2 linked regions of the Stegostoma tigrinum genome follow. The protein of the gene in region 2 purifies or fractionates together with the protein of the main gene of each other region. This does not show direct contact. Links are inferred from orthologs where the notes say so. Each region holds a gene or a part of one and is shown on either strand. Other genes may lie near its edges.

Region 1 (10,575 bases), on a different chromosome or scaffold from region 2:
AGTTCGCAACAAACAACTGCACCTCCCAGTCGCGAACCATTTCCAGTTCCCCTCCCATTCTCTTGATGACATGTCCATCATGGGCCTCCTGCACTGCCACAATGATGCCACCCGAAGGTTGCAGGAACAGCAACTCATATTCCGCCTGGGAACCCTGCAGCCATATGGTATCAATGTGGACTTCACCAGTTTCAAAATCTCCCCTTCCCCTACTGCATCCCTAAACCAGCCCAGTTCGTCCCCTCCCCCCACTGCACCACACAACCAGCCCAGCTCTTCCCCCCCCACCCACTGCATCCCAAAACCAGTCCAACCTGTCTCTGCCTCCCTAACCGGTTCTTCCTCTCACCCATCCCTTCCTCCCACCCCCAGCCGCACCCCCAGCTACCTACTAACCTCATCCCACCTCCTTGACCTGTCCGTCTTCCCTGGACTGACCTATCCCCTCCCTACCTCCCCACCTACACCCTCTCCACCTATCTTCTTTGCTCTCCATCTTCGGTCCGCCTCCCCCTCTCTCCCTATTTATTCCAGTTCCCTCCCCCCATCCCCCTCTCTGATGAAGGGTCTAGGCCCGAAACGTCAGCTTTTGTGCTCCTGAGATGCTGCTTGGCCTGCTGTGTTCATCCAGCCTCACATTTTATTAACTATATAAATACCATGGTTACAAAAGCAGGTCAGAGGCTAGGAATCCTGCAGCGAGTAACTTGCCACCTGACTCCCCAAAGCCTGTCCCACCATCGATGAGGCATAAGCCAGATGTGTGATGGAATATTCCTCGCTTGCTTTGGTGAGTGCAGCCCTGACGACACTCAAGAAGCTCAGCAACATCCAGGGCAAAGCATCAACTTTATTGGTACTATATACAGAAGCATTCACTCCCTCCACCACCGACGCTCAGTAGCAGCAGTGTGTACCATCTACGAGATGCACTGCAGAAATGATCATCTAAAGGACAAGGGCTGCATGTACTCGGGAACACTACCCCCTGCAAGTTTTCCTCCAAGCCACTCCCCATCCCGACTTGGAAATATATCAACGTTCCTTTGTTTCTGGGTCAAAATCCAGGAATTCCTTCCCTAAGGGCATTATGGGTCTACCTCCAGCACGTGGACCAGCTCACTGCCACCTTCTCAAGGGCAGCAAATGTTGGCCCAACCTGTGTGCTGTGAGTGAATAAAAATACCAACTGAAATGAGCACAGAGTGCTGGAGAAACTCATCAGGTCTGGCGGCATCTGTGGAGAGAAAGCAGAGCCAATGTTTGAGTCCAGAATATCTTGTCCTCAGAACTGAGCCATGCTAGACTTAAACAGAAATTGCTGGTGAAACTTAGCAGGTTTGGCAGCATTTTATGGAGAGAAAGCAGAGGCAAAGTTTCAATCCAGTGATCTTTCTTCAGAATCACTTTGCAGAAAGGTCATTGGGCCCAAATCATTGACTCTTTCTGTCCACGGATGCTGCTAGACCTGCTGAGTTTCGCCAGCACTTTCTGTTTTTGTTTCAGATTTACAGCATCCACAGTTTTTATGTTTTGTCTTTCACACTGGACTTCTTGGGCTGAATGGCCTACTTCTGCTACTGTGTCTTCTCTTCAAACCGGGCTGATGGGGGTTAGCTACAGATCAGCCATTGATCTAATAATGGAGAGATAGAGTTGTTAATTTGGTGCAAATCTTACGGAAGTAAAATTCTGCAGATGTTGGAAATCTTAAACAAATACAAAGAGTAGCAGAGTTGCCCTGGGCTCACAATGGTAACTGTGTTCCTCATTGCACAAATGCTGCCAGACCTGCTGACTTTCTCCACCGTTCCCTGTGTTTGTTACAGATTTTCAGCATCTGCAATGTTGCTATTATTTTAACATTTACACCTGTTTTACTCTGATTCCCCTTTACCTCATTGTCACTGCCTTTGTCTTTGGTCTGCATCACTTTTTCCATCTATTCCACTTGCTTTGTTTACAGCATAAAGCCATCATTTTCCAGCTCCTTTCAGTTTTGAAGAATAGCTGACCTGGACTCTGAAATGTTAACTGTGTTTCTATCTCCACAGCGGCTGCCAGACTTGATGAGATTCTACAGCATTGTGTTTGTTTCAGATTCACAGCATTTTGCTTTTCTAAAACTGACAAAGTCCTCTCTCTCTTTCATCTCTTAAAATTAATTAATGCCCTCTTGCTCACCCTGTTATTTGTCTTTTTCTGCTCGGAGAGCCGTGGTGGAGTTGTCACTGTGTGATAAGTATGGGCACCACATGGCTTTCGCATTGCCTCCCCTCTGGAATTCAGACTGCTTTGTCCACGTTTGGACATGTTTCGGAGATGGGGACCCTGTCAGAACTCAAACCTAACAGCAGTTATTGTCGAGTAAGTTAGTGCAGGTTGACAGCATTGTCGAAGACCTATTTTGGTGGTCCATCTTTGATGGCTGTGCTTTCATCTGCTTTGCTCCAAGCTCTGGAATTTGCTTTCCTTAAACCTCCCTGGTCTTCTCCCTTTAACACTGTTCTTAACACCTGTCTTTCCTATTGTGTCACCTACTTCCTTGGGAGCCTTGGCTTCTAATCTTGTCACAATCTCTCACTATGAAGCACTGTGGATTTTATCAAAAATTAAAACTGCTATGTCAACAATGTTGTTGTAAAGGTGCAGTGTAATAGTAGATGAGCTGTTAGATGACCTTGCTGAAGTCAAATAGTCGTTCTTTCAGCATCGTATTCTCTCAAACATTCAGAAATGTCAACGGCAAATTAAGTTACTTGACAGGCATGTGAATGTACCAAGGTTGTTGTTAATTTCCATGATTGGGGAAATGTTATAAAACAGCAGCTCTGTGAATTGTATACCTAATCATCTGGACTGTTGAGGCAGTGCAGCCTTGTTAATGAAGATCTCATTCTCAGTTAAGCACAATTCCAGGTAGCAAACCTTTTTGACTTCTGTTTTAAATGTAACCCCCTGGAATAAGTCACCTTGGCTTTTGGCGTTACTTCTATTTTGCTTTGAATTTAGTACTTGCCTTTAGCCTTTTGAGAGTTTGGTGCGTTACAGCAAAAACAGCATTGACATTTGCAATTGTCTACATTACCCAGTTGTAACTGATATCAACACTCTAATCAATGCAGGTGTAGAGAAAATGTGCAAAATTACAAAGGTCATGGTACTCACAGGAACATGTCTAGGTTCTCCATATTGGCCCTGAGGGATGGATGCTTGTGGTATAAGCACCAGTGATTAAAAATCTGCATTTTTGGGGCATTAATACATCTTACAGTAGATTTAATTGGATTAATAGAGATCAAATCATCCAATGGCAATGGATACCTATTGAATATAAATTTCCAGATTATAATCTGGATAAAGATGAGAAATTTCATTATAAGGAGGGTTAATTGTGTGTTGAATGCCCTACCAAAATATGGGTGTAAGCAGCTTTTTTGAAGGGAAGTTGTGTTATAATACAGATGGGCATGAGCTGGCACAGGCAGGCTGAATGTTGTGTCTGTGCTGTCACATTGAATAATTCTGAGATCCCCAAAGCAGGACGCTGTTGCAGAAAATTTTCGACATGAATGCGCAAAATTCCTATCTCAAAACCACATTTGAATGTGGCATTGATGATGCCCACGGTTAATTCTAGTGAAGACAGTGTATGTTGTACCCACAACCTGCCGCAAGGTTGGCAGTTTTCACTGTGTCAGGAGCAAGGCACAAAGCTGGAACACAAACACACACTCTGGTTACATTGCAAGAATTTAACCTGTTCTGAGAACTCCTTCCTCATTCCTCCAGAGTTTTGCTTCTCAGCCTTTCCCATTTAGTATCGGCTGTGATGAAGTGAGCAGAACTGTTGCCTTGAGGTCAGAACGTTGTGGGTTCAAATTCCACTTCAACACTTGTAAGTCCCTGTGCAACACTGAGGGGTGCTACGCTGTCGGAGGTACTGTCTGTGGATGAGACATCAAAAACAAGGGCCGATCAACCCCCTCATGTTGATATTGAAGATTCTCTGTCATTACTTTGACGAAGAGCAGGGAAATTATCCTGGTGTCCACACTGTCAACCTTGCACAAGCAGCTTGTTATCGCATAGCTAATTGTAGGAGTACATTTGACTTAAATTGAATGCCATATTTTAATAATGCACTTCATTTCAAACATACTTCATGGCTATAAAATACTACGGAGTGTTTGGCATTCATGAAAGGTGCTAGCCTTTTCCTTTTGGCTTTCTGGCAATGTGTCCTATTGATTTCCCCCCCCACACTGCTCTTGTATTGACCTGGAGTTTTCAGGATGGGACTCTGCACTTTTTTGTACACAGTGACTGCAGGCAGACCATTTACAGTCTGAACGCACGACACCATGGAGCAAATACTATGCACAGACAGCTCCCCTTCATGTTTAAAAAAAAACTGACTTTGAGAGCCAGTGAATTTCACCCTGGAAACTACAGATTAAGCTCACCTATTGGACATAGAATGCTAGGACGATGCAGGGACCTGGAGGGATAATGTTTTCACACAGAAGGTGGTGTATTTATGGAACCCAGGTGCCCAAGGAAGTGGTGGAGGCTGTACAATTACAACATTTAAAAGGCCATCCGCATGGGTATGCAAGTAGGAAAGGTTTAGAGGGATATGGGCTGTCTTTTTCTCTAAGGTGGGGGATTTCAAGACTGGGGGGATATATTTAAGGTGACATGAGAAAGATTTAAAACACGTGAGAGGCAATTTTTTTTGGCTCTGTTTACACTAGTTCATATGTGGAATGAACTTGCACAGAAAGAGGTGGATGTGTGTACAGCTGCGACATTGAAATGACATTTGGATGAGTACATGAGTAGAATATGATGGGAGGGATATGGGCCAAGCACAGACAGGTGGAGCTAGTTTAGTTTGGGATTATGGTCAGCATGGATTAGTTGGACCAAAGGGTCTGTGTCTGTGTTCTATGACTGTGAAAGTAGGACTAGACAACTCGCAACTGGAACGTTCCAAGGAAATGTTTCTCAATGACATCCAATTAGACCCCCATTTAGGGAGGTTTGGAGGGGCTGGGGGAATGATTGGGACTCACCATCTATGGAACAATGACGAGTGAATGTAGGATAGTGTGAATGAAAATATAGGTGCAGAAGGTAAGTAGATGTTGATGTTTTGAGGGAAATTGAATGTTAACTGACATTATTTAAGCAGCAGAACAAAATAGTTGTCGGGGATTAATGTAATGACTTCAGCGTATGTAAACAAGATGGTTCGTGAGCTTAGACTGGCCACTTTTCCCAACATTTCCTTTGGGGACTTTAAGATTCTGTCCCTGTTATTGCTGTCTTCTAGATTTGATGCCAGCATCATTTTTGATCTGTGCTCTTTTTGTTTTCGTTACTTGTGACTGATTTTAAAAAGTTGCTTTTGAATCCAGGACTTGGCTTGTTTGGTATTTTTGGCCACATCCAGGATTCAGGAGCTTGGACACACTACGCCACAGACCACCTTAATGCTGTTTCCTTGGGGTTGCATGTTTTCCCCACCTACGGAGCTTGTATCTGTTTTAACTGCGCATTCATATGCTTTCTATTGCAGAGGCGACAGAGGACGTGGCCGTGGACGTTTTGGTGCAAGGGGTGGCCCAGTTGGGGGGTACGTGTCACGAGACAGTCGTTTGCTAAAGATTTTTTCTGTTACAATCCAGATTTTATTAATTTGAAACTTTTATTTCTCTCCAACGTAAACAGGTTCAGACCATTCGTTCCTCACATCCCATTCGACTTCTATGTGGTAGGTGACAGTATCTTTTCTCAACACGTCACAGAGCACTGTGCAGCCGATGAGACAATTTTGACACCCAGTCATTGTTATATGTTAGCTAATTGTACACATTAAGCTGTATGGTAATGACTGGGTAAACTACAACAGGGAGTTGCTGGAGTGAATATTGACCTAGATGCCAGAGCCTGCCTTTGAGTGGTTACAATGGGCTCCTTTACCTCCACCTGAGAGTGGAGATGCCAGTGTTCGACTTGGGTAGACATAGTCAGAGATCACATGACACCAAGTAAGAGCCCCAACAGGAGATAGCAAGAACTGCAGGTGCTAGAGTCACAGTCCGAACAGGTTTATTTGAATCACAAGTTTCAAAACACTGCTCCTTCGTCAGTTGAAGTGGAAGGACCTGTACCGGCACAGAATTTATATGCAGAGAGATAATGGCAAGATAATTACAGGTAACTAAGAATGGTCATCCCCTCACTTGCTAGTCTGCTGTTGTCACTTCACTTACACCATTTAACACTTTTTTGATCACCTGCATAGAAATGTTATTCTGCTTGTCAATACTCTACTCACACACTATTGGGGAGCACTGTTGTGGGGAAATGTTAGCCCACTCAAGGACAGTGGAGTGAGTGTGTGTGTCTGTGTGTGTGTCTGTGTGTGTCCAGAAGAGGTCGGTGGAGAGGTCTTAAAAGATAACTCTGTACCAGTATTTGTGAAAGAGAAGTAATTGGAACAGGGGTGATCTCAGGGAACAGAGAGTCGCATTACTAAACCAAGTTGCTATTAAAAAAGAAGTGGTGATGTGTGTCTTAAAAAGTATTAAGATAGATAAGTCCTCTGGTCCTGGTGGGATCTATCACAGAATATTGAGGGAGGGAAGAAAGCCCGTCGCTGGACCACTGACAGGCATCTTTCTATCCTCTTTGGTGACAGGTGAGGTCCCAGAGGACTGGAGAATAACCATTGTTTAAAAAGCGTATTGGGGATAATCCAGGAAATTACAGGCCTCTAAGCCTCATGGTGGTAGGGAAATTAGTGCAATAGATTCTCAGGGTCAAGATCTATAAGCATTTAGAAGCAAATGGACTGACTAACACTCAACAGCATGGTTTTATGCAGGAGAGGCCGTGCCTCAATAACTGATTTGAATTTTTTGAGGAGGTGATGGAAATGATTGAGGGAAAAGTGGCTGAGGTTGTCTACATGGACTTCAGTAAAGCCTCTAACAAGGTCCCTCGTAGCAGACTGGTACAAAAGATGAAGTCACATGTTATTGAGGTGAGCTGGCAACATGGATACAGATCTGACTTAATGATTGGAGACAGGGTAGCAGTGGAAGAATGCTTTTCAGAAGGGAAGGTTGTGACTGGTGATGTTCCACAGGGATCACTGCTGGGACCTCTGCTTGCGATCTACATCAATGATTTGAAGGAAAACATAGCTGGTCTAATTAGTAAGTTTGCAGATTATAACAAAGATCGGTGGAATTGAGAATAGTGAGGAGGATTGTCAGAGGATACAGCAGGTTATAGATCATTCGGAGGTACGGGCAGAAAAATAGCAAATGCGTGTTTAATCCGGACAAATGCATTTTGGAAGGTCAAGTACAGGAACTTATACAGTGAATGGCAGAACCCTTAGGAGTATTGACATGCAGAGGGATCTTGCTGTGCAGATCCACAGATCACTAAGTGGCTGTGTACGTAGAAAGGTGGTTTAAAAAAGGCCTACAGCAGCGTGCTTGCTTTCTTTGGAAGGGGCGTTGACTACAAGGATAGTCAAGTTATGCTGCGGCTTTAGAGAAGTTTAGTTAGGCCATACCTAGAATATTGCTGACAATTCTGGTCCCCTCACTGCCAGAAAGATGTGGATGCTTTGGAAAGGAAATAGAAAAGGTTTGCTAGGATGTAGCCTGGAATGGGAATTTTAGCTATAAAGAAAGGTTGGATAGACTGGGCTTGTTTTCACTAGAATGCAGGAGGGCAGCTAGAAAGAAGTTCATAACATTGTGCATGGCCTAGATAGTGTGAAAAGAATGCGGTCTTTTCCCAGGGTGAAGGGGTCAATTACTAGAGATACAGATTCAAGGTACCATGGGGGTGTTCAAAAGAGATGTGTGAAAAATGTGCCTTGCACAAAAGTAGCATTCACGAATCACTTGAATGAATACAAGCATAGGAAGGGAATAGAGGGATATGGATCCTGTAAGTGAAGACCGTTCTAGTGTGGAACGGCAAAATGTGCTGGCGCAGGCTTGGAGGGCTGAAGGACCTGTTCCTGTGCTGGATTGTTCTTTGTTCTGTTGTACTTATCTTTTGATACTCTTAATTACCTTGAATTATCTTGTTGTTATATCTCCACGCATAAATTCTGTCCCAGTGCGCTTCCCTTCATGTCACCTGATGAAGGGGCTACACGCTGAAAGCTTGTGATTTCAAATAAACCTCTTGCACCATAACCTGGTGACAAGTAACTTCTGACTTTGTCCATCTGAAAGGGCAGGTGGGACCTTATTTTTACATTTCCCTTAAAGCTAGCGCCTCTGACACCACAGCCCTCCTTCAACTACCACACTGATTTGTTGGCCTGTATTTTGTCCTGATGTTCCTGGGCTGTGAACCCATGGCCTTTTGACTTGGGGGACAGTGCTCTGCGCTAATCCATGGCCGATGTACAGTGCTTGTTAAAGCTGGCACAGTGCATTGGCACCACCTGGGCTCCTCTGGTTATTCTGTTACATTCAAATGTCTGCCTGCTTCATTGGGCAATATGTAGGGTCCACTTGACCTCCATGAAAAGGAAAGTTGGGTTGTGTGTGTACTGTTGTTAGAGCAAGCATTTGGAGCTTTATATCTGCTCTGTAAATTCCACGAATTTGGTGCTTTGTAGCCTGACTTCCATTTGATGTTAAAGCTTGAGCGCATTGTTGAGACGAACACTCCACTGATGCCCGTTAGGCCAGACATTAAACCAAGGCACCTATTTGACTCGTTCAGTATAACATTCAAAGACTCAATGAGACTGTTCGGAAAGAAGCAGTGGTTTCTTGATCCATTGATTATTCTGTGAAAAAGCAGACTAAAGCAAGTTGTTGTAATGTTTTGTACATCAAGATAGCTGAATTTGGAGTGTAATTGATTAATGGGAGGTGTTTTTGAAATATTTGAATGTTTTATGTAGCATTTCTTTTGGTTAATGAGAAATAACTTGACACTGATGACTTGGTTGACTGTGGTCTGGTGAGAGTGGCAGCTTCTACCTTGTAAGACACCAGCTGGTTTAACCAGTTTGCTCCTGATGTTTACTTCGCTCAATCCACCTGCCTCACCTGGAGCAGTCAGAGTCATATAACATGGAAATAGACCCTTCGTCCAACTTGTCCTTGTTGACCAGATATACCAATCTGACCTAGTCCATTTGCAAGCATTTGGTTCATATCCCTGTAAACCCGTCTTATTCATATACCCGTCCAGATAACAAACGAATATTGTAATTGTACCCGCTCTGCCACTACCTCTGCCAGCTCATTCCATACACACACCACGCTTTGCGTTTTTAAAACAAGGTTATCCCTCAGGTACGTTCTAAATTCTTCCCCTCTCACCTTAAACCTATACTGTCGAGTTTTGGACTCCCCCCATGCTAGGAAAAAAGACCTTGGCTATTTGCCCTTTCTATGCCCCTCGTGACCTTATAAACATCTGCAAGTCACCCTTCAGGTGCCGATGGTCTGGAGAGAAAAACCCAGCATATTCAGTCTCTCCCTATAACTCATACCCTCTAGTCCCAGCAACATTCCTCTACATTGGGGAAACCAAGCGGAGGCTTGGGGACCGTTTTGCAGAACACCTCTGCTCGGTTTGCAATAAACAACTGCACCTCCCAGTTGCAAACCATTTCCACTCCCGCTCCCATTCTTAAGACAACATGTCCATCACGGGCCTCCTGCAGTGCCACAATGATGCCACCCAATGGTTGCAGGAACAGCAACTCATATTCCGCCTGGGAATCCTGCAGCCCAATGGTATCAATGTGGACTTCATCAGCTTCAAAATGTCCCCTTCCCCCACCACATCCCAAAACCAGCCCAGTTCGTCCCCTCCCCCCACTGCACCACACAACCAGCCCAGCTCTTCCCCTCCACCCACTGCATCCCAAAACCAGTCCAACCTGTCTCTCCCTCCCTAACCTGTTGTTCCTCTCACCCATCCCTTCCTCCCACCCCAAACCGCACCTCCATCTCCTACCTACTAACCTCATCCCACCTCCTTGACCTGTCCGTCTTCCCTGGACTGACCTATCCCCTCCCCACCTATACTCTCCTCTCCACCTATCTTCTTTTCTCTCCATCTTTGGTCCGCCTCCCCCTCTCTCCTTATATATTCCAGAACCCTCACCCCATCCCCCTCTCTGAAGGGTCTAGGCCTGAAACGTCAGCTTTTGTGCTCCCGAGATGCTGCTTGGCCTGCTGTGTTCATCCAGATTCACACTTTATTATCTAACATTCTTGTAAATCTTTACTGCACAATCTCAAGTTTAACAAATCCTTCCTATAGAAGGACGACCTGAACTGCGTGCAGTGTTTCAAAAATGACTTCACCGATGTCCTGTATAGCTGCAACGTGACATCCCAACTCTTGTCAGAGATAGTAAGGACTGCAGATGCTCGAATCAGAGGTAACTGCGTGCAGCTGGAGGAACGCAGCAGTCCGGGCAGCATCAGAGGAGCAGGAAAGTTGACGTTGCAGGAAGGGAGCTCAGAAATAGAGAGGAGGGGTGGGGCTGGGGAGGATAGGTGA
Region 2 (11,641 bases):
GGAACAGAGGAAAAATCTTCCAGTACAGTTATTTCAGCAAAGATGCATCCAAAGCAGTTATTAACCCTTACAGTAATAATGTAATGTAAAATAAATCTCATTACCCCTGCGATCACTCACAGTGACAAGCAGAAACAATTGATTACTAATTCACTACAAATGCTAATACTCAATGTTTACAAGTTAAAGATCCGAGACAGCAGGATTTTAATTCCATCTCAAATACTATAATTCCAAATTGAAACAAGAATATTTCAGAATGAATGCCTGTTTCAAAAGAGCTTTTTTTACCCCCTCAAATGAATGCAAATGTAAAAGGCACTACAAATCTTAACACAAATGCATTCCTTACAGCTACCAAATCCCTTACAAACAGTGTTGCTCCAGTGTTGTTTTGAAAATGCTCATGCAGGTCAACAAGGGCAGTCAAAAGTGAAGGTGGAGCCATTTAGGATCCAAAAGGAAATCACCTTCAACTGGTAGAAACCATGACTAAAGTACTGAATGTGTACTCTGCAACTATTGGTGAAACCGATCTTCTCTTCAAATGAGAACAGCAACACCAGCACAGTAAAAGATGGTTAGAACAAATTCTACAAAATAGATTAAAAAAAAGGAGAGATTCTTAAAACACTATCAACTGGAACTGAAGACACCGCCCCAAACAGATAGGGCACACATTACTGCAAGAAGTAGTAAAAACAGAAGTTATTCTGGCACTCTCTCTCACTCATCCCTCGGTATGAAAATGGTGCCAAAAGCCTGAAAGGCTGTAAAGGTTATGTATGCACTCATAAAAAGATGAAACCGGCAACTGCAAGACAGTCAACCTAATAGCAGTTGTTGGGAAAATAAATTTCCACAAGGGAAAAGTATGTAATAATTAATCGCAGCCAGCACAGTTTTGTAAAAGACCATGCTGGCTTAAAGACATGACCAAATTTTTTCAATGCAATATGAAGAGAATTGGTGAAGGTACAGCAGCTAATTCCATGAACTTCCAAAACAAGTTAAATGTAATGCTGCAAAATACCTGGCAAGCAGAAGTTAAGCACTTGAGGTTGCAAGGGATATGACCAGAATGTGCATACTCTGGCTCAAAGGTAGAAAGCAAAGTTGCATTTTTAGGTTGGAAGGAAGCATACAATGGGTCCCTCAATCATCACTACTAAATTAATGCATGGCCATGTCTGCACGTGTGTGTGCACACGTGTGTGTGTGTGTGTGTGTGTGTGTGTGTGTGTGTGTGTGTGTGTGTGTGTGTGTGTGTGTGTGTGTGTGTGTGTGTGTGTGTGTGTGTGTGTGGGGGGGGGGGGGTGTCTGTGGAGGGAATTTCAAAGTCTCCAAATTTTGACCAATAATGGAAATAATGAACAGCAAACAGAACAGTCAACAACTTCAAGGGGACAATGACTAGTAAAATGGGCAAACAAAACAGCATGCAAAGTTTAAATACAAACTGAAAGAACTGCAGATGCTATAAATCAGGAACAAAAGCAGACGTTTGGAGGAAGAGTCACTAGACCCGAAACATTTGCTCTGATTTTTTCGCAAAATTTAAAGATACAGGCATTCATTTAGAGGAAAAATTAGATGATAAATGATACAACCTGGAACAGAATGCAGGAAGAGAGGTCTCAAAGCGGGCTTGACAAGCTGGTGTTTTGGAGTTCCTTGTTTTTAAGGAGTACAATAACAAAAATGGTATATTGAAACCTTTAAAAATAACCATGACCAGCCCTCAGCTAGAGTTGGGTATCTAATGTTAGGTGCCACATTTCAGGGAAGAATGCCAAGGTCTTTGAAAGGATGCAGAGATTTATAAGGATAGTATCAGGAATGAGGGACTTCAATTATGCGGACAGGCTCAAAAAACTGGGATTGTCTTCTTAAAGCAAAGAATGTTTAAGGGAAATCGGATACAAAATGTTCAAAGTAGTAGATTTGCCAACTTTAGGTACATTTAAGTCGTCATTGGATAAGCATATGGACGTACGTGGAATAGTGTAGGTTAGATGGGCTTCAGATCATTATGACAGGACGGCACAACATCAAGGGCCAAAGGGCCTGTACTGTGCTGTAATGTTCTATGTACAAGCAGGTCAACAGCACAAATGAGGGAAATCCCAAACAGCAAAGTTGATAAACAGAAGACAGAGATGAAAATGTGGAACTTTTAAAATCATAAAGGGACAGGGGGAAAAAAGGCCAAGGGAGGTAAAATGGGAAGCCCTTTCAAAAAACAGATACCACATGCATAACTGTCCACTTACTTTCTGAGCTACACCATAAATGAATTGAGGAAGAGGTATAACCATGTAAAGAACAATGGGATCTCCAAGTATAAAGTCATTTGCTTACTGGGAGGGGAATGCTTGCATAAACTAAATTTAACTACAGTACTCACACTTCATTTGCATAAGTTTTTTTTAAGATACTAAGCAGTTAACACAATTATTAACTGCTATAATGCACAAAGCACACATGCAGGGTATTATGAACAAACCAGCTCCGGCTTAAGTACACCACAGAATAATTTATGAGCTTCAGGAAACTTAAACAGAAACAATTTTCTTATAATTTGCATTGATAACACTTCAACAACCTCAAGATGTCTTAAAGCTTATCAAGGCCAGTTGATCAGAGATAACGGGAACTGCAGATGCTGGAGAATCCAAGATAACAAAGCGTGGGGCTGGATGAACACAGCAGGCCAAGCAGCATCTTAGGAACACAAAAGCTGACATTTGGGCCTAGACCCTTTCTAGACCCACATTTCATTATCAAGGCCAGTTGATTACTCATGATGACACAATCACATAGGGGAAAGTATGGCTTCCAATGATTGTTCTTTCAACAATGTATGGATTGACCACTACTGTTTAAGTGATTTAAAAAGAATGTTCCAAATGATGACAAATTGAATGCTCAAATGTGTGCATTACTACTCAAGCTATTGCAACAAGTACACAGCTTCCCAAAGCTTAACAAATGCAATCTGTACCATGGACAAACATGCAACTTGGAATTCATACAATCCAATTCAATGAAATCTTTATGAAATATATTGCATGGTAATTCAGATTGAACTCTCCAGACTAAAATTAAATTATTTAAAATGAGAAAACCTAGCTTTCAACACCAACGCCAGTAATACAGCAGAAATTGCAAAAATTCTCGTCTCCAAATGTGCCGTAATCAAGAACCAATCATTGGCAATTTCAAGAGATTCCATTTAAAAACTCCAAGCTTCAAACAAACTTGTAGGTAGTATCACATACATATCAACATAAACCTTTCAGGAGATTCATCCACTGCCTAAGCTAAGTGAAACACAGCAAGTACACAATCTTTCAAAAAAAACCAACACAAATTAGAAATCCCAATCATCATGGAAAGCCCATTGTTCTACCCTTATCCAAATCCTCTTTGTTGTACCCTAGATCGATGGAAATCACTTTCAAAGCAAGTAATTTTTAAGATTTTTCAAGGCGGGGGGGAGGAGGTGGAGAGATACATTTGAACTTTAAAGCACAGTAGTCAACTCATAACCTGCGCAGACAGCAAAAGCTTTTAGGACAAAAAGATTCCATTCAATGCTACAAGTCTCCCGACACATCTACGACCAAAAAGCCACTCGCTCTTATCACGAAGCCAAACTAGTTAATCCACGTGTACTAAAATGTTCAGCTCGGCCATGCGTCAACTCGGCACAACAATGGCCGGGCCACATGTTGCATCAACAGTAATCGAGCAAAGAAAAAAACTGTAATAGATAAAAACAAATATTTAAAAATGGAAATATTCAACAAGCACATTGAAAACTGAACTATTCTCTGCTAGAAGGGGAGGTGGGGAAGAGAGATGTGCAGGAAGTGTGCATGAAGCTTAATACTTAGGCTCTACTGCGTTTGCAACTATGGAAAAAAAATTAAAAATAACATTTGACAGCATCACGCAAATCTGATCCCGTGTGGCTTTTTTTTGAAAATAAAGCGTCGTTTGTCCTGAGTTAGGAAGACCAGGCGCCTTGAAGGAGAGCGAAATAAATAGGCGAAGTGAATATAAGCCCGAAGCGCCGGGGCCGTGCATACATTTAAAATTACAACAAAAGAACAAAAGCCCGGGTGGCGAGAATGAATATAAAAGTACACAGGGTCGCGGCGGGACCAGGAACACTGTAAGGCAATCCAAACGAAGAGGGAATAAAACGGGAGGCTGGAGTGGGAATTGGAGAGAGAGGGCCGAGGCCTTTCATTTTGAGCTTCCCAACAACAGCATCCACCCCTATCCCACCCCCCACCACCCACCAAACCTCGTCCTGTCCTCTCCCCTCCCCCTCTCTCCCGAAGCCCAGCTCCGAAAATGCCGCGGGTCCGACGGGCGTCGACAATCACTGGCGAATCGCAATAAAACCCGCGGGCTATAACTCCCTCCTTTCTCACCCCATCAAGGAAATAAAATCACACGCTCGGGCGCTCATACAGAGACCACCACCTGCTTCCCCCGCCCCCCCGGAAGGGGAAAAAGGGACAAAGTGCCGGGGCTGCGGCCTAGCGGGGCACAGTGAAGGCTCCGCGGGCTTCTGCTTCAACCCGCGGCCCCGGCTTTACAAACACACTCCTTCCCGCCGCCGAGCACCCCCGGCCTACCCCCTCACCTTACTCTCGGGGCTGCCGGTGCGATGCGGTTCGGTTCAGCTCCGCCACCCCGTTCCCGCGCTCCGACGGATTGATGTTTTAACGATCTATTTTATTTATTTATTTCCCTCGCCCTCTCCTCCCTCGCTCTGGTGGATCTCGCTAAAATGGCCGCGGCCGCCTCATGGATCCCGCTCCCGGCGCCGCACGGGGTTTCCCGGCCGCGGTCGCACGGTACGGGCCCCGCCCACCGTCACCCCGGGCAACGGCCGCCCCGCAACCGGCTGGCCAATCGCAAATCCCCACAGGAAAGGTTTGGCTGGGGGGGTGGTGTTTGTGTGAAGGGGAGGGGCTTTGTCCAATAGGATGCCGTGTTAGGAGGAAGTCGATGAAGGAGGACGGGGTATGAGTGATCAGGGATAATGGGAACTGCAGATGCTGGAGATTCCAAGATAACAAAGTGTGAGGCTGGATGAACACAGCAGGACAAGCAGCATCTCAGGAGCACAAAAAGCTGACGTTTCGGGCCTAGACCCTTCATCAGAGAGGGGGATGGGATGAGGGAACTGGAATAAATAGGGAGAGAGGGGGAGGCGGACCGAAGATGGAGAGAAAAAGAAGATAGGTAGAGAGGAGAGTATAGATGGGGAGGAGAGTATAGATGGGGAGGGGAATATCCGCCCCAGAGAATCCCCCTCGTTCTCACACACCACCCCACCAACCTTCGGATACAACGCATCATCCTCCGACACTTCCGCCATCTACAATTGTAACTGATGTCCATTTCAAGCCCACCGACTCCCACAGCTACCTAGAATACACCTTCTCCCAACCACCCTCCTGCAAAAATTCCATCCCCTATTCCCAATTCCTCCGCCTCCGCCGCATCTGCTCCCACGATGAGGCATTTCACTCCCGCACAGCCCAGATGTCCAAGTTCTTCAAGGACCACAACTTCCCCCCCACGGTGATCGAGAACGCCCTTGACTGCGTCTCCCACATTTCCCGCAACACATCCCTCACACCCCGCCCCCGCCACAACCGCCCAAAGAGGATCCCCCTCGTTCTCACACACCACCCTACCAACCTCTGGATACAACGCATCATCCTCCGACACTTCCGCCATCTACAATCCGACCCCACCACCCAAGACATTTTTCCATCCCCTCCCCTGTCTGCTTTCCGGAGAGACCACTCTTTCCGTGACTCCCTTGTTCGCTCCACACTGCCCTCCAACCCCACCACACCCGGCCCCTTCCCCTGCAACCGCAGGAAATGCTACACTTGACCCCACACCTCCTCCCTCACCCCCATCCCAGGCCCCAAGATGACCTTCCATATTAAGCAGATGTTCACCTGCACATCTGCCAATATGGTATACTGTATTCACTGTACCCGGTGTGGCTTCCTCTACATTGGGGAAACCAAGTGGAGGCTTGGGAACCGCTTTGCAGAATACCTCCGCTCGGTTCGCAATAAACAACTGCACCTCCCAGTCACGAACTATTTCAAATCCCCCTCCCATTCTTTAGATGACATGTCAGTCATGGGTCTCCTGCAGTGCCACAACGATGCCACCCGAAGGTTGCAGTAACAGCAACTCCTATTCTGCTAGGGAACCCTGCAGCCCAATGGTATCAATGTGAACTTCACAAGCTTTAAAAATCTCCCCTTCCCCCACCGCCTCCCAAAACCAGCCCAGCTCGTCCCTGCCTCCCTAACCTGTTCTTCCTCTCACCTATCCCCTGCTCCCACCTCAAGCTGCACCTCCATTTCCTACCTACTAACCTCATCCCGCCTCCTTGATCTATCCATCCTCCCCAATCTCTCTCCCCCCCCCCCCACCTATACACTCCTCTCCACTTATCTTCTCCTCTATCCATCTTTGATCCGCCTCCCCCTCTCTCCCTATTTATTTCAGAACCCTCTCCGAAGAAGAGTCTAGGCCCAAAACATCAGCTTTTGTGCTCCAAAGATGCTGCTTGGCCTGCTGTGTACATCCAGCTCTGCACTTTGTTATCTAGGAGTTCCATGGTGAATGGTAGGGCCTTAAGGACTGCAGTGGAACAGAGAGACCTTGGAGTTCAGGTGCAAGGTTCTCTGAAAGTGGAATCACAGATAGTCAGGGCAGTGAAGGCAGCTCTGGGCACACTGGCTTTGATCAGTCAGGGCACTGAGTGGAGAAATTGGGAAGTTATAGTGCAGTTGTACATGACATTCATGAGACCACACTTGGTATTATGTTCAGTTTTGGTCACCTTGCTGTAAGAAGAATGTTATTAAACCTGAAAAAGTGCAGAAAAAATTTAGACTGAGTTATATGGAGGGTTTGGACAAGTTAGGACATTTGTCTTGAGAGAGTAAGAGACTGAGGGGAGGGGAATCTTACAGCAGTGTAAAAGATCATGAGAGGCATGGATAGGGTGAACGCACTAAATCTTTTTCCTAGGGTTGGGGAATAGAGGACTAGAGGGCATCAGTTTAAGGTAAGGGGGGGGAAAAAAGGGAACCTGAGGGGCAATGTTTTACACAAGGTGGAATATGCCCCCAGCAGAAGTAGTTGAGGTGGGTACAATTAACTTTTAAAAGACGTTTGGACAAATACATGGATAGGAAAAGTTTACAAGGAAAAGGGCCAAGTGCTGGAAAATGAGGTTAGTGTGGATGGACATTTTAGTCAGCATGGACAAGTTTGGGCCAAAGAGTCTGTCTCCATGTTGTAGGACTCTGATCGGGTGTCCTGACTGGGGGAGATGGAATGGAGAGGGCATCCTTACTTACTGGGGGAAGGAGGGTGCTGTCTGGTGCCTGAACTGAATGAGTACTGTCTTCTGAAATTGTGTGTATATCAGTGAATTGGAGGGTAGTTGAGGGAGTGTGGAGATTGGTTAGGGATATAGAGATGTGCTGGCTGGGGTGTGGCGGTAGTGCAGATTGGGGAGAAGAAAGGAAGAAATAGTTTCAAAAGAAAAAAAAAGGCCTATTTTTGTTTCAAAGATATAGATGTCACGACCTAGGGCAGCATTTATTGCTTATCCTTAATTGTCCAGAAAGCAGTTAAGAGACCATAAGACATAAAAGACAAGAGACAACCACATTGCTGTGGGTCTGGAGTCACATGTAGGTCAGACCAGGTAATAACATAAGAAATAGGAGCAGGAATAGGCCTTGATCTGTCAAGACGACTGCTCAAGATGATCATGTATGGCTGATCTTTTCATTATTTCGCTCCACTTGCGCACCTGCTCACCGTAACTCTCAATTCTTTTACAGTTCAAAGTTCTAATCAGTCCTGCTGCTTCATTATTTTCAACACCTTGATTAAATCTACCTTCAGTCCCTCAATTTCAGTTAAAACAACCCAGCTTTTCCAAGATAACAAAGTGTGGAGCTGGATAAACACAGCAGCCAAGCAGCATTTTAGGAGCACAAAAGCTGACGTTTCGGGCCTGGATCCTTCATCAGGAAAGGGGGGGGGGGGTGGGGAGGGGGGATCGAAGATGGATAGGAGAAGAAGATAAGGTGGAGAAGAGACAGAAAAGTTAAGCAGTGGCAGAGAGATCCCCTGAGGCTTGTCCAGAGGGAGGAGGGTAACTTCTTCAGGCTAGGCATCCCTAGAAGAGGCTTCGCAGCTTTTCCAATTCTGGCAACATTCTAATACACATCTATTCTCTCCAGTATAATTTCATTCTCCTTGTAATAGAGTGACAAGAACTGTATGCAATGATGTAGTTATGATCTAACAATTGTTTTATGCAGTGCTTCCTAATTTTATATTCTATACCTCATATAATGAAGGGAAATATCATATGGTTTCATAACCACTTTCAGACATCTGGGATATACACATGTAGTACATGGTCTCTCTAAAGATCTCGTGTCCCATTATTTATCCCATATTATGAATACTGCAGCAAATAATCCATAGTATAGTATAGTATAGTATCCCTACTGTGGAGAAACAGGCCCTTCAGCCCAACAAGTCCACACCAACCCTCCTACCCAATCCCATTTCCCAAACTCACCTAATCTACACATTCCTAAAATTTAGCATGGCCAGTCCACCTAGTCTGCACATGTTTGGACTGTGGGAGGAAACCAAAGCACCCAGAGGAAACCCACGCAGACAGGGGTAGAATGTGCAAACTCCCACTGACAGTCGCCTGAGGGGGCCCCTGGCACTGTGAGGCAGCAGTGCTAACCACTGATCCACCGTGCCATCCAAATTCACCACCTGACTCCTCAAAGCCTGTCTACCAACTACAACACGCACAAGTCAGGAGTCTGATGGAATAAACCCAACTTGCTTGGATGAGAGCAACTCCAACAACACTCAAGAAACTTGTCACCATCCAGGACAAAAGAGCCTGTTGGATTGGCACCACAGCCACTAGCATCCACTCCCACCATCATAAACACTCAGTAGCAGCAGTGTGTATCATATACAAGATGTACTGCAGAAATTTATTCAAGATTCTCAACAGTACTTTCCACGACCACTTCCATCTTGAAGGACAAGGGCAATAGATACACACCACTGCCTTAAAGTTCCCCTCCAAGCCACTCACCATCCAGACTTGGAAATATATTGCTGTTCATTCATTTTTCCACTTGGTCAAACTCCTGCAGTTCCCTGCCTAACAGCACTGTAGGTCTAACCCCAGCAGGTGGACTGCAGCAGTTCAAGAAGGCAACTTACCACCATCTTCTCAAGGGTATTATACTTCCTTCACAGATAGTAGGAACTGCACTCGCTGGAGAATCAGATAAGAAAGTGTGGAGCTGGATGAACACAGCAGGCCAAGCAGCATCAGAGGAGCAGGAAGACTGACGTTCCAGGCCTATTTCCTTGTCTTGTTAACCTTCTACAATACATTTCTAAGGATTAAATATCATTTGTCACTTTGCTATCTTATCAACAATCAATATTTTAGGTTCCTGCAGTCCAATGCTTCTTCTTTGGTACCCATGAAGAGCAAGAAACCCTATGCGAAGCCCAATAACATGACAGGAAACAACTGTACAGCTACAAAAGCACTTAATGAATATTACTTTTTGTTAGCAGTCAATTTTGAATCAACGTGTCAATTTATCATAGATTCCACGGCATTTCGATTTTCATATGAAATCTATGTATCACAAGGATTACCCCAATCCAACCTCCTCATACCAACTCAAAAATTCAGTAATTAATTAGGATCATTCCTTAACAAATCTATTTCGATTATCCATGATTAATCCATCTTTTTCTAAATGATGAGTTTATTCAATCATACTGAATTTTTCCAGTAACAGGTTAGCATGTCTGGTTTGTAATTGCTTAATGTATCCCTTCACTCTCAACAATGTGAGCAGTAGCTCCTCCAGTTCTCTTGCTAAGCCTGTAGCCAGAAGAAAATGAAAAATGATGATTAGTCTGTTTTGCATCTTGCAAACTTCCACAAGACCATAAGAAACAGGAACAAGAGCAGGCTGTTGGGCTTCTCAAGCCTGCGCTATCATTCAGAACAATCATTGCTAGAACATAATGGCATAGTACAGGCCCTTCGGCCCTTGATGTTGCGTGACCAATGAAATCAATCTGAAGCCCATCCAACCTACACTATTCCATTATCATCCAAATGTTTATCCAATGACAGTTTAAATGCCCTTAAAATTGGCGAGTCTACTATTGTTGCAAGCAGGACATTCCACGCCCTTACTACTCTGAGTAAAGAACCTACCTCTGACATCTGTCGTATATCTATCACCCCTCAATTTAAAGCTATGTCCCCTTGTGTTAGCCATCACCATCCGAGGAAAAAGGCTCTCACTGTCCAGTTTTCTATCTTTTCTCCATAACCCTTGATTCCTTTGGTGGACAAGAATCAGTGTCTCTCAGTCTGAAATCTACACAAGGGCACTTCCCCCACAGCTGTCAACAGCAAGGAAGTCCAAAGATGCTCAACCCTCAAACAGAAGAAATCTCTCCTCAAATCAATCTTAAATTGATGGTCCTTTATTTCTGAGACTATGCGCTCTCGTCCTTTACTCTGCTACTCGGGGAAACGTCATCTCAGCATGTACCCTGTAAAGCCTCTAAACAATCCTATATATTTCACCAAGATCACCTTTCATCTTAGCAACCCGATCACACTAGTGAACATTCCCTGAAATGTCTCCAATCAAGTGATATTAGAAATCCTTGTGTTGTGTCTGCTGATATGCTCCTGAGGGATGCTACCATCCTCACTGATTAGCTAAGCTTGATCTCCTCTACAAATTTTGGAACTGTACCTCAACCCCAACAGAGATGGTGACATTAACAGCAAAGTAATTTGACAAGCAATCCAGAGGCCCAGGCGAATACTCTAGGATACAAATCCCACCATCCGCTAGTACAATTTAAATTCACTGAATAAAATCTGGAATATCAAACTGGTCCTCACTGACGGTGACAATGAAAACTATCAATTGTGATAAAAATCAATCTGGCCTACTAATGTCCTTTTAAATAAGAAGTCACAAGACACCAGGTTACAGTTCAAAAAGGTTTGTTCAAAATGACAAGCTTTAGAAGCACAGCTCCTTCATCAGGTGAAGTCACCTTTACCTGATGAAGGATCAGTGCTCTTAAAAACTTGTGATTTCAGGTAAACTTGTTGGACGGTAACCTGGTGTCATGCGACTTCTGACTTTGTCCAACCTTGTCTAATACCGGCACTTCCACATCAGTGTCCTTCTAGGCAAGGTAATTTTCCATGCCAACTTGGTCCGGCCTATATTTGATTGCCCACCTACAGAAATACGTTAACTTTTAACTGCCCTCTGAAATGGCCTAGCAAGACACTCAGTTCAAGGGCAATTTGAATGGGCAACAAACAACGATGTCTATATCCCATGAAAGTGTCTCTCAAACACTCGAATCCAGGTTGTAGGAATTCAATGAACCAAAGTCTTTCAGGATGTAGGTGTGCACTGACTTCAGTTGTGAAACAACGTTATTCATTGCTAACATGTTT

Evidence for each region.
Region 1: the proteins of heterogeneous nuclear ribonucleoprotein R (region 2) and ilf2 purify together in Homo sapiens (affinity purification with mass spectrometry; 3 studies listed by BioGRID and IntAct, counting the BioPlex papers as one, with this or other methods). This does not show direct contact. The link is inferred for Stegostoma tigrinum from reciprocal best matches to the Homo sapiens genes HNRNPR and ILF2.

The regions. Positions count from the first base shown.
Region 1 is NC_081400.1:1,948,312-1,958,886, reverse strand, and holds the start of ilf2 (interleukin enhancer-binding factor 2 homolog), read left to right. Parts: upstream 1-5,563; 5' UTR 5,564-5,641; intron 5,642-5,736; 5' UTR 5,737-5,779; intron 5,780-10,575. UniProt on the Homo sapiens protein: Chromatin-interacting protein that forms a stable heterodimer with interleukin enhancer-binding factor 3/ILF3 and plays a role in several biological processes including transcription, innate immunity or cell growth.
Region 2 is NC_081377.1:35,785,518-35,797,158, reverse strand, and holds the start of heterogeneous nuclear ribonucleoprotein R, read right to left. Parts: upstream 4,874-11,641; 5' UTR 4,661-4,873; intron 1-4,660. UniProt on the Homo sapiens protein: Component of ribonucleosomes, which are complexes of at least 20 other different heterogeneous nuclear ribonucleoproteins (hnRNP). hnRNP play an important role in processing of precursor mRNA in the nucleus.